3 linked regions of the Coturnix japonica genome follow. Each later gene encodes a partner of the first gene's protein in a complex. Links are inferred from orthologs where the notes say so. Each region holds a gene or a part of one and is shown on either strand. Other genes may lie near its edges.

Region 1 (3,513 bases):
AGGGTGCAGCCAACACACTGGGCCCTTTATTTCCCTCAGAAGAGAGTCACTTGCAAGTCAAATGATGAGGTCTCCTTTTTTGACCCCTAACAGGGGCTATTCCCATCTCTAAGACTTGCATCACAGTCATGAAAATCTGCTGTGTTTAAAATCCCATTAATCGTTCACAGATTACAGCAGTGCAGCCTTGCTCATGCTTTACCTTGCATAAAAGCAATATCCATGAGGCTCTAATGGAATGGCAAACTAGCACAGACCTGCAGGATAACACACAGCCAACCCTTTCTGCTTTTATTTCTGAGTCTTGTCTACACATGTGAGAAACTACATTATTTAGAAACTAGAAAAATACATAATCATCTTGCTCATCTTTCTCATTTTCCTTTGTTTTTCTTCAATACAGACTGATACCGAAGTTGGAGGGTGTAAGCCTTAGAAAGCCAGGGAAATATTACCAAAGAACCTCTACTTTGGTCGTCAGCAGAAATAAGTCAGTACCAGAGTAGTTTGTGATGTGACAGAACTGCTCTCCCATTTATTTAAAATCAAACTCCCTCTGCACTGGATTCAATAACAACATAATTTTACAGACAGGTTCGGTAACATTGATAGCCACAGCACGCCGCAGTTTAGAGGTAGGTGCACAACAAAGCGACTTGTTAGCACTTCAAACTTCATGAGAAAAGATGAACAATTTTTTACAGGAGGACCAGAAACGTTCCATTGTAACACTACTGATGCTGCGGAGTGCTCTGTGAGTACCTGCACAGAGAACACACACCTGCCCCACATCCCCCACCACGTTATCACTCGAACACGCCTACATGGCTATTTTAAAGAACATTTAGGATCGGATGCCTGCCTCTGGAACGACGTTGAGCTAATGATGAAAGGAAAGCAGTTCGTGTTTTCAGAAGCCGAGTGTTCCGTGCAGCTCGCGGAGCCCTCACACGCTGTCCAGCTTCTTCAGGATGAAGGGAGCTGAAAAGAGAGCAACACAATGTCAGTGTCTGGTGGTGAACACGGAGAATGGCTTGGGCAATGCAGGTGTCCGGCCGGGCCTAGCTCTAGGCCTAGCTCCAGGCCTAGCTCGGTGCCTAGGTCTGGGCCTAGCTCCAGGCCTAGCTCTGGGTCTAGCTCTAGGCCTAACTCCGGGCCTAGCTCTAGGCCTAACTCCGGGCCTATCTCTGGGCCTAAGTCGGCCTAACTCCAAGCCTAGCTCCGGGCCTAGCTCTAGACCTAACTCCGGGCCTAACTGTGGGCCTAGCTCCGGGCCTAACTCTGTGCCTAGCTCCGGGCCTAACTCTAGGCCTAGCTCCGGGCCTAACTCTAGGCCTAGCTCCGGGCCTAACTCTAGGCCTAGCTCCGGGCCTAACTCTAGCCTAGCTAAGCTCCGGGCCTAACTCTAGGCCTAGCTCCGGGCCTAACTCTAGGCCTAGCTCGCGGCCTAAACTCTAGGCCTAGCTCCGGGCCTAACTCTAGGCCTAGCTCCGGGCCTAACTCTAGGACTAGCTCCGGGCCTAACTCTAGGCCTAGCTCCGGGCCTAACTCTGGGCCTAGCTCCGGGCCTAACTCTGGGCCTAGCTCCGGGCCTAACTGTGGGCCTAGTTCCGGGCCTAGCTCCGGCCTAACTCTGGGCCTAACTTTGGGCTTAGCTCCAGGCCTAACTCCGGGCCTAACTCTGGGCCTAGCTCCGGGCCTAGCTCTGGGCCTAGCTCTAGTCCCAGCTCTAGACCTAACTCCGGGCCTAGCTCCGGGCCTAGCTCTAGGCCTAGATCCAGGCCTAGCTCCGGGCCTAGCTCTAGGCCTAGATCCAGGCCTAGCTCCGGGCGCAGCCCCTCAGGCCGCAGCCCCATCCCCGCACACTCACTGATCCGCAGCAGCGCCACGTAGATGAAGAAGTTACGGACGGAGGTAAGAACGTCTCGCCGCATCTTTCTCCTCATCTCCTCCGGGTCCATCTTAGGCCCCAGCCCCTCGATACGGAACATGCTGCTCCACACACCGCCGCACCGCGCCGGTCACCGAGCGGGGCCGGGAGCGGAGGAAGGGAAATACGAGTGGCTGACGACACTAAGCTGCGACGGAAGGGACGTCACACCCCGTCAGGAGGAGGGGCCGCCGTTGTGAGGCGGCAGCGCGGCGCTTGGAGCGGGAGAAGCCGGGCTGTGGTGGCGGGGCTGCCGCTTGTCGCCGTGGCAGCGCTGTGGTCGGACCCACGATGGTGTCCAGAGCTGCAGACAGACTGCTGATCGTTGTTGCTGTGCTGGAAGGTAAGCCATTAAAGCTTCAGCCCTGCTGTAGTTGCTGGCTTGTTGCCTGTCTCTGCAGCCTGTTTCCTTCAGTGGGGCCCAAGATATTGGAGAGCAGAAAATGATGAGCAGAGGAACGTTATCTCAGCCTAGAGAAGAGAAGGTTGTGGGGTGACCTCATTGCAGCCTTTCAATTCCTGAAGGGAACTTACACCCAGGAGGGGAGTAAACTCTTGGAAAGGGCTGATAATAGCAGGACTAGAGGAAATGGTTTTAAGTTAAAAGAAGGAAGATTTAGGTTGGATGTTAGGAGGAAGTTCTTCACTAGGAGAGTGGTTAGGCCCTGGAACAGGCTGCCCAGGGAGGTTGTGGATGCCCCGTCCTTGGAGGTGTTCAAGGCCAGGTTGGATGGGGCCATGGGCAACCTGATCTATGGGGTCTCTATGGGGATCTATGGGGTCTATGGGGTCTCTGTGGGGATCTATGGGGTCTATGGGGTCTCTATGGGGTTCTATGGGGTCTCCTGGGCAACCTGATCTAGTAAATGTGTATGTTTGGTGGCCCTGCTAGGCAGGGGGGTTGGAACTACATGATCCTTGAGGTCCCTTCCAACCCAGGTCATTCTGTGATTCTGTGATTCTGTGATTTTAATGTAGGAGAGTAATTAGTAATTAGTTTGCAATTACAATATTGCAATTACAATAAAAATTGTAATTAGTTTGCAATAAGGATCTGAGCTCACTTGTTCTGTTTGTGGTGACTGGTAATCACACTCTGTTTCAGGACGCTGTTTTCCAAAACGACCCAAGCACATGCTTGTAGTTGAAGCAAAGTTTGATGGAGAACAGCTGGCTACTGATCCTGTGGAGCATACTGATCAGCCAGAGTTTGCCACTGAATTGGCCTGGGAACTTGATCGAAAAGCACTTCATCAGCACAGGTAACAGCAGAAAGCGAAGCCTGAAATAAATTTGTTAATAAATTTGAGCCACTCCTCATAAGACTTGTACTCCAGACCCCTCACCAGTTTTGTGGCCCTTTTCTGGACACGTTGCAGGGCCTCAATGTCTTTCTTGCAGTGAGGGGTCCAAAACTGAGCACAATACTTGAGATGAGGCCTCACCAGAGCTGAGTACAGAGAGATGATCACCTCTCTGCTCCTGCTGGCCACACTATTTCTTATACAGGCCAGGATGCTGTTGTCCTTCTTGGCCTTTTGGCACACTGTTGGCTCATGTTCAGCTGAGCATTGACCAACACC
Region 2 (3,745 bases), on another chromosome or scaffold:
GTTCCCTCACTAGAGGGAAGTCACTAGGATAGGCAGAAGCGTGCTCTTGCATGGCAACTGAGGCATACAGCACCAACAAAGGCAGTGCCATTTAGCTAAGGCACACACACACATGGAATAATCCCAAGGATTCATGCTCAGTTCTTCCCATAAGATATCACAGAAACCTCCAGCTGCATTCTGTACAGCACAGACGTGCTGCAGAACGAAACCGATGGATCAAGCTGGATCAAATTAGCACATAATACCCTGAGAACAGCTGTCATTGCGATGGATACTGTACCTGCGATGGGAGATGGCTCCATATTCCCCAGCTAAAGCAGTCTGTGTGGCTGGAACGAGCTCTCGGTGCATATTGCGCAGGATGCCTTCACTTGAAGAGTCAGCCTGCAACAGCAACGTGCTGTCAGCTCCACAGGAATAATGACTGGCTGTGTGACTTGTCACTAACAACAGGCATTCAATGTCTTGTCCTTATCGAATGGCTTAGACTGGAGAGGACCTTAAAGATCATCCAGTTCCAAGACATTATGTAGGCTGGGTGGCCCCTCACCACATCAGGTTGCCCTGTGTAACCTAACTCTGGGCATATCCAGACACACAAGGAGGATGTTAAGAGCTGACTCCTTACCGAGATGTTCCACATCATTTTGATAGCCAGGGGGAAGGCAGCTTGCTGTTGGCTTTTATCTGCCGGCTCCTTTTCAGACACAGGCAGAGCTGAGCTCTGTGTGCTCCCCTGGCGATGGAGGGATGAAGGAATAGTTGCTTCATAGACAGCAGCATTGCAGCCCTTCCCAAGGGGCTGCCCGATGAGATAATCCTCCAGCTTAAAGCCCCGCCATCGCAAAGAGCTCAGCGGATCTTTCTGCGCCTTGTTCTTCCCAACAAACACCGTCTGAAAGGAAAAACGAAGGAAAAGTGGAATGAGAAAAGCATTCAGTTTATTCAAGACTATTCAGTTTATTGACAGGCTGAGGGAGTTGGGTTTGTTCAGCCTGGAGAAGAGAAGGTTGCGGGGTGACCTCACTGCAGCCTTTCAATACCTGAAGGGAACTTACTCCCAGGAGGGGAGTAAACTCTTCAAAAGGGCTGACAATAGCAGGACACAGGGAAATGGTTTTAAGTTGAAAGAGGGAAGATTTAGGTTGGATGTTAGGGGGAAAGTTGTTTACTAGCAGAGTGGTTAGGCCCTGGAACGGGCTGCCCAGGGAGGTTGTGGATGCCCCGTCCTTGGGGGTGTTCAGGGCCAGGTTGGACGGGGCCCTGGGCAACCTGATCTAGTAAAGGTGTATGTTTGGTAGCCCTGCCAGGCAGGGGGGTTGGAACTACGTGATCCTTGAGGTCCCTTCCAACACGGGTCATTCTGTGATTCTGCAAAGACTGCACAATAAAGGAAAGCTGGAGTGCTTGGAAAGAGCAAAATGCCTTTTAATCAACCAGGAAAGCCCAAGTGACTGTTAAGTGCAAAATGGCCTTATTTTCAACCAGCCTAAAGCACGGGTTGGTACTGAATGGGCTCCGAGATCCCTTCCAACCCAATAATACAGCGATTCCACACACAAAGACAGACCGAAAGCCGCAGCCAGAGGCTGCCATTCAGGCTGTAACCATGGGGACAACAGAACCCCCCTAAGGCTGGAAAAGGCCACTAAGCTCATCACGTCCAACCCCTCCCCGTAGCCCCACACCTGGATCCGGCCACACGCCGCCCTCGCTCTTCGTTGTTCCTCCAACGGCGGCTCCAACAGCGCCAGCCCCAACGCCAACGCCATACAAGGCCCGGCCCGGACCCTCCGCACCGCCATTGCCGCTAGGCCAGCCGGGCGTCTGAAGGAGAAGAAGCGGCCGAATGGCAGCCGGGAAAAGAGGGAAGATGGAGGAACGGCTGAGGGGACAGGAGGGGGGACGGGGATGGGGAGGGGGCGGCGGCCGGGCAGCAGGCGGTAGGCCCGGGATAACAGCACCCGAAACAACATGGCGGCCACCGAGCGCCTCAGGAAGAGGCGGGAAGAAGGCGGAAGCGGAAGGGGCGGGGCTACAGGGAAAGTGGGCGTGGTTATGGGGAGGGGGCGTGGCTATGAGGAAGGGGGCGTGGCTACGAGGAAGCGCGTAATGCGCAATGCGCATGCGCAAGGTGAGGGCTTAAGGTGCTGCTGCAGGTTGCATTGGTGCAGCATGCATTGGTGCATGGAGTGCAGTGAGTGCATGGAGGGCATAGTGCACACAGCACTGAGCACGCAGGGCATGGTCCAACAGGGCACAGAGCACAGCATGCCTCGTTAAAGTAACACGTCATTGGGTTTTGTTCCATTGCTGTTTCATTGTCAAGGAATTGCTCTTTGTCCTCACGAAAGCAAGCAAAAATATAGAGAGAAAGGAGAAAAATAGGCTAAAAAAAGGAGCTGTGGCATCACATTGGCTGCACGGTGAACACAGTGCACAAATGGCTGCTGGATAATGCTGGGAACTGGAGCTGATATTGCTTTTTATCCCCTGTTGGGCTGCATTGGATCCAAGCAACACCCATGGAGCAAACTCCATTGTCCCCAATGGAGTCAATTGCATAGAGGGGGAGTGATCCAAGGTGCTGAAAGGGAAATGCAGGTGTGCAGTTCATGCCTTCTGCAGGTCCTCGGGGCCAAAGGAGAGTGGCAGGAGCTCCCGTAGTGTCTTCACAATGTAGGTGCCATCAGGTTTGGTCAGGTAGATGTCCCAGTCTGTGCCAAACTACAAGGAGAAAAGCAGGAGAGAGGGTCAATAGGGAATCCATGCTGCAGCACCCACAGCTCAGCTCAACTGCTGGGCTCCCTTAGTTTGTTCAGCCCAGAGATGGAGGGGTGGCCCCCATCCATGGTGGCCTGCAGCTCCTTGTGGCCCTCCATGCCCCCAGCATGGCAGGGGCTCCACTCACCTCTCTCATCACCTGTCTGCAGGCCCCGCATGGCGTGATGAAGTCTGACATGTTACTGCCAAAGCAAAAGAGCCACACCAGGTTCAGTATCACTCCATCCCAAAAGCCAAAGGGAATCAGACATAGAAACCCAAAGAGATTCCCCCAGACCCAAAGGGATCGCTCCAAAACTAAAGGTGGAACCACACTGGAAAAGAAAGGGATCACCCAAAACCCAATGAAATCACCCAGAACCTAAATAGGGCACCTCCCCAAAGGGTATTACCCAAAACCCAAAGGGGGCACCACCACAAAGCCCAAAGGGGATGCCCTAAAATCAAAGGGGGAATCACCCCCCAAACCAAAGAGATTGCCTCAGAATTAGAGGGAGAACCATCCCAATAAGCAAAGGGATCACCCCAAACTCAAAGGGGGTACCTCCCCAAAGCCCAAAGGAATAGCCAATAATCCAAAGGGCGGAACACTCCAAAACCCAAAGGGATTCCCCAAAACCCAATGGGACTGCCCAAAACTCAAAGGGAGAACCACCCCATTGAACAAAGCGATCAGCCAAAACCCAAAGTGGGCAGCACCCCAAAAGGGAGCACTACGCCAAAACCCCAAAGAGATTGAACAAAACCCAAATGGGGCATCACCCTAAAACCCATAGAGTGATGTGGTGCCATGGGTGCCAATGGCCTCACCTGGCAATGGCCATGGCCTTGAAGCGTGTGTGCCCTTCGGAGATGGCTTTTAGGATGGCTGCACGCTCAGCGCACATCCCAAGGCTGTAGCAGGCATTCTCTACGTTGCATCCTATAGGGAAGCACCAGCATCACTCACCACCCCATA
Region 3 (3,745 bases), on another chromosome or scaffold:
CCAAAAGGAAAAATTCAACTGCATCATCGCAAAATCATCCAGGCTTAGCTTAGTTTGAAAGAAAAACCAAGAACCTCTTCAGCAAGAAACGCTAAACTCTACACAGAAGTCAGTAAAGGAATCAACCCAGCACCTGCTGGGGAGTATAAAACAAATCCGTTCTTGCGAGGAGTAAACTCTTAAAAAAATAAATAATAATATAAGCCTAAGGAAAAGATGATTCAATAGCAGAAACAGATGTGAGTCCCAGTGATGAGACAAAATGGTTTCTATGATTTATTCAATAAAAAGTAACAGAAGCAGGACAAAACTTGAAGAAAGTGTGGGAGCACTGGTCTTCTCTCACTCCAAATCCCTGGTGTCCAGTTCATTAGTAGCTTAAAAGGGCTTTGAGAAGTTTCAGCTATGTACTCTTCCTCTGAGTAGGTCCAACTACCGTCTCCAGAAGAATAATTATTACTAGTTCAGAAGTATCAAAATGCATGTCTGTGCTTAAGGCTACTACATATAAAAATATATGACTGTATGTATAAACTTCTTTCATCTTTAATGTTCCCAAGCTGACTAGATATTCATCATAGACAAGAGATTTATGCTAAGGCCCTAAAGTTTAAAAAATAATATTTTTAATTGCCTGTAACTAAATGTGTGGAATTACTGCAATAAAAGGATACTGCTGTTTTTATCAGGCCAAGTTAAGCATCCTCCCTACTGCAGGAAACTGACTAATCCTTGTCAGCCATTCCAGCCTACAGGCCCAGGTTTCCTGATAAGGAGTTAAAACAGCTTATGACCTTCACGTTGCTGTTTCAATTCATACGCTGACAGGGACACAAGAGGAAAAAGCAGATGTTATTTGGGGGTACATAAAACACCCCGTAAGCCGGGGTCACCACCAGAAAGCTCTTTAAAGGCCAAAATATATCAATTCTGTTTCTTCCAGTGTTGAAAAATTCACTAGATTTGCAAATCCTTATGATGAGAAGCAATTTTATTCGAGCATGTTTTGAAGCGTCTTTCATCTTCTTACTAATTAGAAGCACCTAAAATAAAGCTACAATTTAATTACAAGCCTGTTGTGACAGTAGATATCAAATATCCTAATTTCAGGAACATAGAAAATACTTATTTCAGGTAAGCATCCCACTTTTTCTTTTTATCCCCCTTTCTATATAGACCTAAAAGAAATAATCTGCTACTTAAATATACTTTCTTCCAAAGCAAAAAGAAAATGAAATGCCAAGATGTGTGAAGGCTGTCACAAGTATTACATCACAGCTTTCTTTCGAGGCAATACTTGGAAAGAGCCCCACACTTAGTAATTAAGGTATGCCAGTGGCTTCAATAACCATTTCCAGACCTCAGGACATTGAGGATCAGCCTAGAGGGCACAGAATTAGGAACAAAATACTTAAGTATTATGTATTAAAATATATAATATTTTTATTATATAAACTTTTATATATACTTTTAAACGGCAACAACTAAAGTGAAATTGTATCCTATCATTGAAAATAGCAATAAACCGATACTGAAAATACCGTTAAAAACATGTCCGATCTAACGCTGACCTCCTTTACGCTTACGGAGCTACTAAACGAGAACTACTACCCTCGCTGTAACTACCTCCCTACTTACACCTCGACGCCTGGCACGCGGACGACGTAGCCATAGCTAGGCCAATGCACAGACTCTACGGAGAAGGGAGAGAGAGTCAAACAGCGCTCGGTTCGCTCCGTGCTCACAAAACCGAAGCAGCGCGGATCCCCTCTCGCTACGGGCCGGGCCGCGCGGCGCCCGCTGCCGCCGCAAGGTGAACGCTCCGCGCGGCCATCTTGGGCCTCGCGCCTGACCCCCGGCGCTACGGCCGCCCCTTATGTAACCGCAGCCCGGGCACGGCCGAGGCCATCGCGGGCGGCGGAGCGTCCCGACCCCGTCCCGATCCCCCCACACCCCGTCCCTCCCGACCGCCCCCAGCGGGACAACGAGGAACGCGGCCCCGGCCCCGCTCACCGCCCTTCGCTCGCGCCCCACCCGCCTCCCCCGGCACCGCGGGACGAGCCCAGCCCCGGGCCGGCACCTGGCGAGCGCGAGAGAGCGGCGGGGCCGGGCGGAGCGGGACCGGGGGCGCGGGCGGGTCTGGCCGTGAGGAGGCCGCGCTGCTGCAGCCGCTGGCACTGGAGGGCGAAGTGAAGGAGACACCGATCCGCCCGCCCGCCGCCGCCCCGCAGGACCCCGGTCAGAAGGGGCCGTCCCGCGAGGTGCCCGTCCCCACGGAGCGCCCCGCGCGCCCGTCCGCCCGACCCGAGAGACCCCCAGCGCGGGCACACACGGGAACACAAGGCTCCAGCCGTGAGAAACGCCGTACCCTCAGCGCGGAGCCGGGATGGAGCGACGTGGGCCGGCAGGCGCTAATTCCGGCAGCCCCAGAGGCGGAGACGGGTCCTCGTGAGAGGGCGGGGCCTGCGCGGGAGGGCGGCAACGGCCGCGCCTGGAACCCGCGACGCGTCCGCCGCTCAGCAGAGCGGGTGCGGCCCTGCAGCGCGCGGGGCGGAGCGAGGCCTCGGGCGGCTCCTCAGTCCAGCGGCCCGCACGAGGGAAGACCCGTACACCGGGTGCAGGCCCTGCGAGCCGCCCGCCTAACTCAAGTAGAAACTTCCGCCCCGTAACGGTCACCAGCCACAGCACAAGTGGGCACAGGCCCAGCCTCCTTAAAAGTACTCAGTCAGAACCCGTCAGAAAAGTGAAAGCGAGTCAAATCATATTCGAATCACATGAAATACACGTTAACAAGCACTACTGGTTTCCTCCAACACATGGTACGGCAGCCGTTTTCTTTTTTTTTTCAGCCGTTACTAAAGCAGGCTGACCGGCAGTAAATTCCAACTGCCCATCAGCATCTAGTTCTGTTTTAGGTTGGATGTTAGGGGGAAGAACATGAATGTGGCATGAATTGTTCATAATACAAGTTCATTCTGAATAGAATTTCAGTTTCTTACATCAGAATGGTGGGGTGGCTTTTTTTTATATATATTAGTCATGGTCCGGCTTTATCATTTTAAAGCAATCCAGTGAAGTACTTACTGCCCCACCCTGAAGGAAGAAGTTCTGAATCACTTGCCTTGTGAAACAGTTTTGTCTGAGACCGCAGTACACAAAATCCCAGTGAATGCTGCTGTCTATCCATACATTATAATCATGATTACTTGAAGAAGACATGTATGTAACCAATAAAAAGACAGCTGTAGTGCTCACCAGTTTCCATCAGAGGTTTATATTCACTTCTAGGTCAAACCTGCAGTCATTATCTGTCCTTCTAAATTTGAGCCTTCAAAGATTAAAAATACAGTGGAAAAGAAACCTTAAGGTAAGCCTAACTGCATAAACAAGGGCTTATCCTGAAAAGGAACTGACCGATAGCATTCACCACAGATGGTAAAATTATAATCAGCAGAAAATAGGTGGGAAATAGTTAAAGTTAGCAGGAACCGAGTTCAGAAGCAGCAAAGCAGTGTTTGTTTTTCTACCAAAGGAGAAAACAGACCCATGCAGAAACCAATGCATTTAAATAAGTTGACATAGATGGATATCCAGGTAACCTCAGGGAAATGCCAGTGAATAAGCAGAAAGCCTGTGACTTCAGAGACTAGAGGGTAAGCCAAAGGCAAATTTAGGAAAGCCAATAAGGAAGCAAATGTTTGCAGGCCCTAGCAAGGCTGACAGAGACACAGAACCCCTTGCAGTT

Evidence for each region. Proteins that work in one complex are often made in the same cells at the same time.
Region 2: the proteins of TOMM5 (region 1) and PINK1 are in contact, whole or in part, in a cryo-EM structure (PDB 9EII), measured with the Homo sapiens proteins. The link is inferred for Coturnix japonica from reciprocal best matches to the Homo sapiens genes TOMM5 and PINK1. Residues at the interface, in NP_001001790.1 of Homo sapiens: Met1, Phe2, Arg3, Ile4, Gly6, Leu7, Ala8, Lys10, Leu11, Asp12, Pro13, Glu14, Met16, Lys17, Arg18; in NP_115785.1 of Homo sapiens: Gln484, Ala488, Gln491, Ser495, Lys496, Pro498, Val502, Lys520, Leu522, Lys523, Leu524, Met527, Glu565, Cys568, Gln569, Ala571, Leu572, Leu573, Cys575, Ser576, Trp577, Ala579, Ala580.
Region 3: the proteins of TOMM5 (region 1) and VDAC2 are in contact, whole or in part, in a cryo-EM structure (PDB 9EII), measured with the Homo sapiens proteins. The link is inferred for Coturnix japonica from reciprocal best matches to the Homo sapiens genes TOMM5 and VDAC2. Residues at the interface, in NP_001001790.1 of Homo sapiens: Ile25, Arg29, Leu32, Ile33, Ala36, Arg39, Val40, Phe43, Ile44, Lys47; in NP_001171752.1 of Homo sapiens: Val38, Thr60, Gly63, Asp239, Tyr258, Gln260, Thr261, Leu262, Leu268, Leu270, Val286, Leu288.

What each region holds. Positions count from the first base shown.
Region 1 is NC_029547.1:66,690,096-66,693,608, reverse strand, and holds TOMM5 (mitochondrial import receptor subunit TOM5 homolog), read right to left. Parts: upstream 2,096-3,513; 5' UTR 1,992-2,095; coding exon 1,871-1,991; intron 982-1,870; coding exon 947-981; 3' UTR 507-946; downstream 1-506. Other genes in the region: CEP120 (centrosomal protein of 120 kDa), read left to right, coding at 2,222-2,273, 3,036-3,192.
Region 2 is NC_029536.1:4,265,048-4,268,792, reverse strand, and holds the start of PINK1 (serine/threonine-protein kinase PINK1, mitochondrial), read right to left. Parts: upstream 2,545-3,745; coding exon 2,527-2,544; exon of another isoform or gene 2,283-2,526; intron 2,079-2,282; coding exon 1,692-2,078; intron 899-1,691; coding exon 632-898; intron 388-631; coding exon 284-387; intron 1-283. UniProt on the Homo sapiens protein: Serine/threonine-protein kinase which acts as a sensor of mitochondrial damage and protects against mitochondrial dysfunction during cellular stress.
Region 3 is NC_029521.1:12,479,932-12,483,676, forward strand, and holds the start of VDAC2 (voltage-dependent anion-selective channel protein 2), read right to left. Parts: upstream 2,468-3,745; 5' UTR 2,369-2,467; intron 2,214-2,368; exon of another isoform or gene 2,081-2,213; intron 1,694-2,080; 5' UTR 1,673-1,693; coding exon 1,639-1,672; intron 1-1,638. UniProt on the Homo sapiens protein: Non-selective voltage-gated ion channel that mediates the transport of anions and cations through the mitochondrion outer membrane and plasma membrane.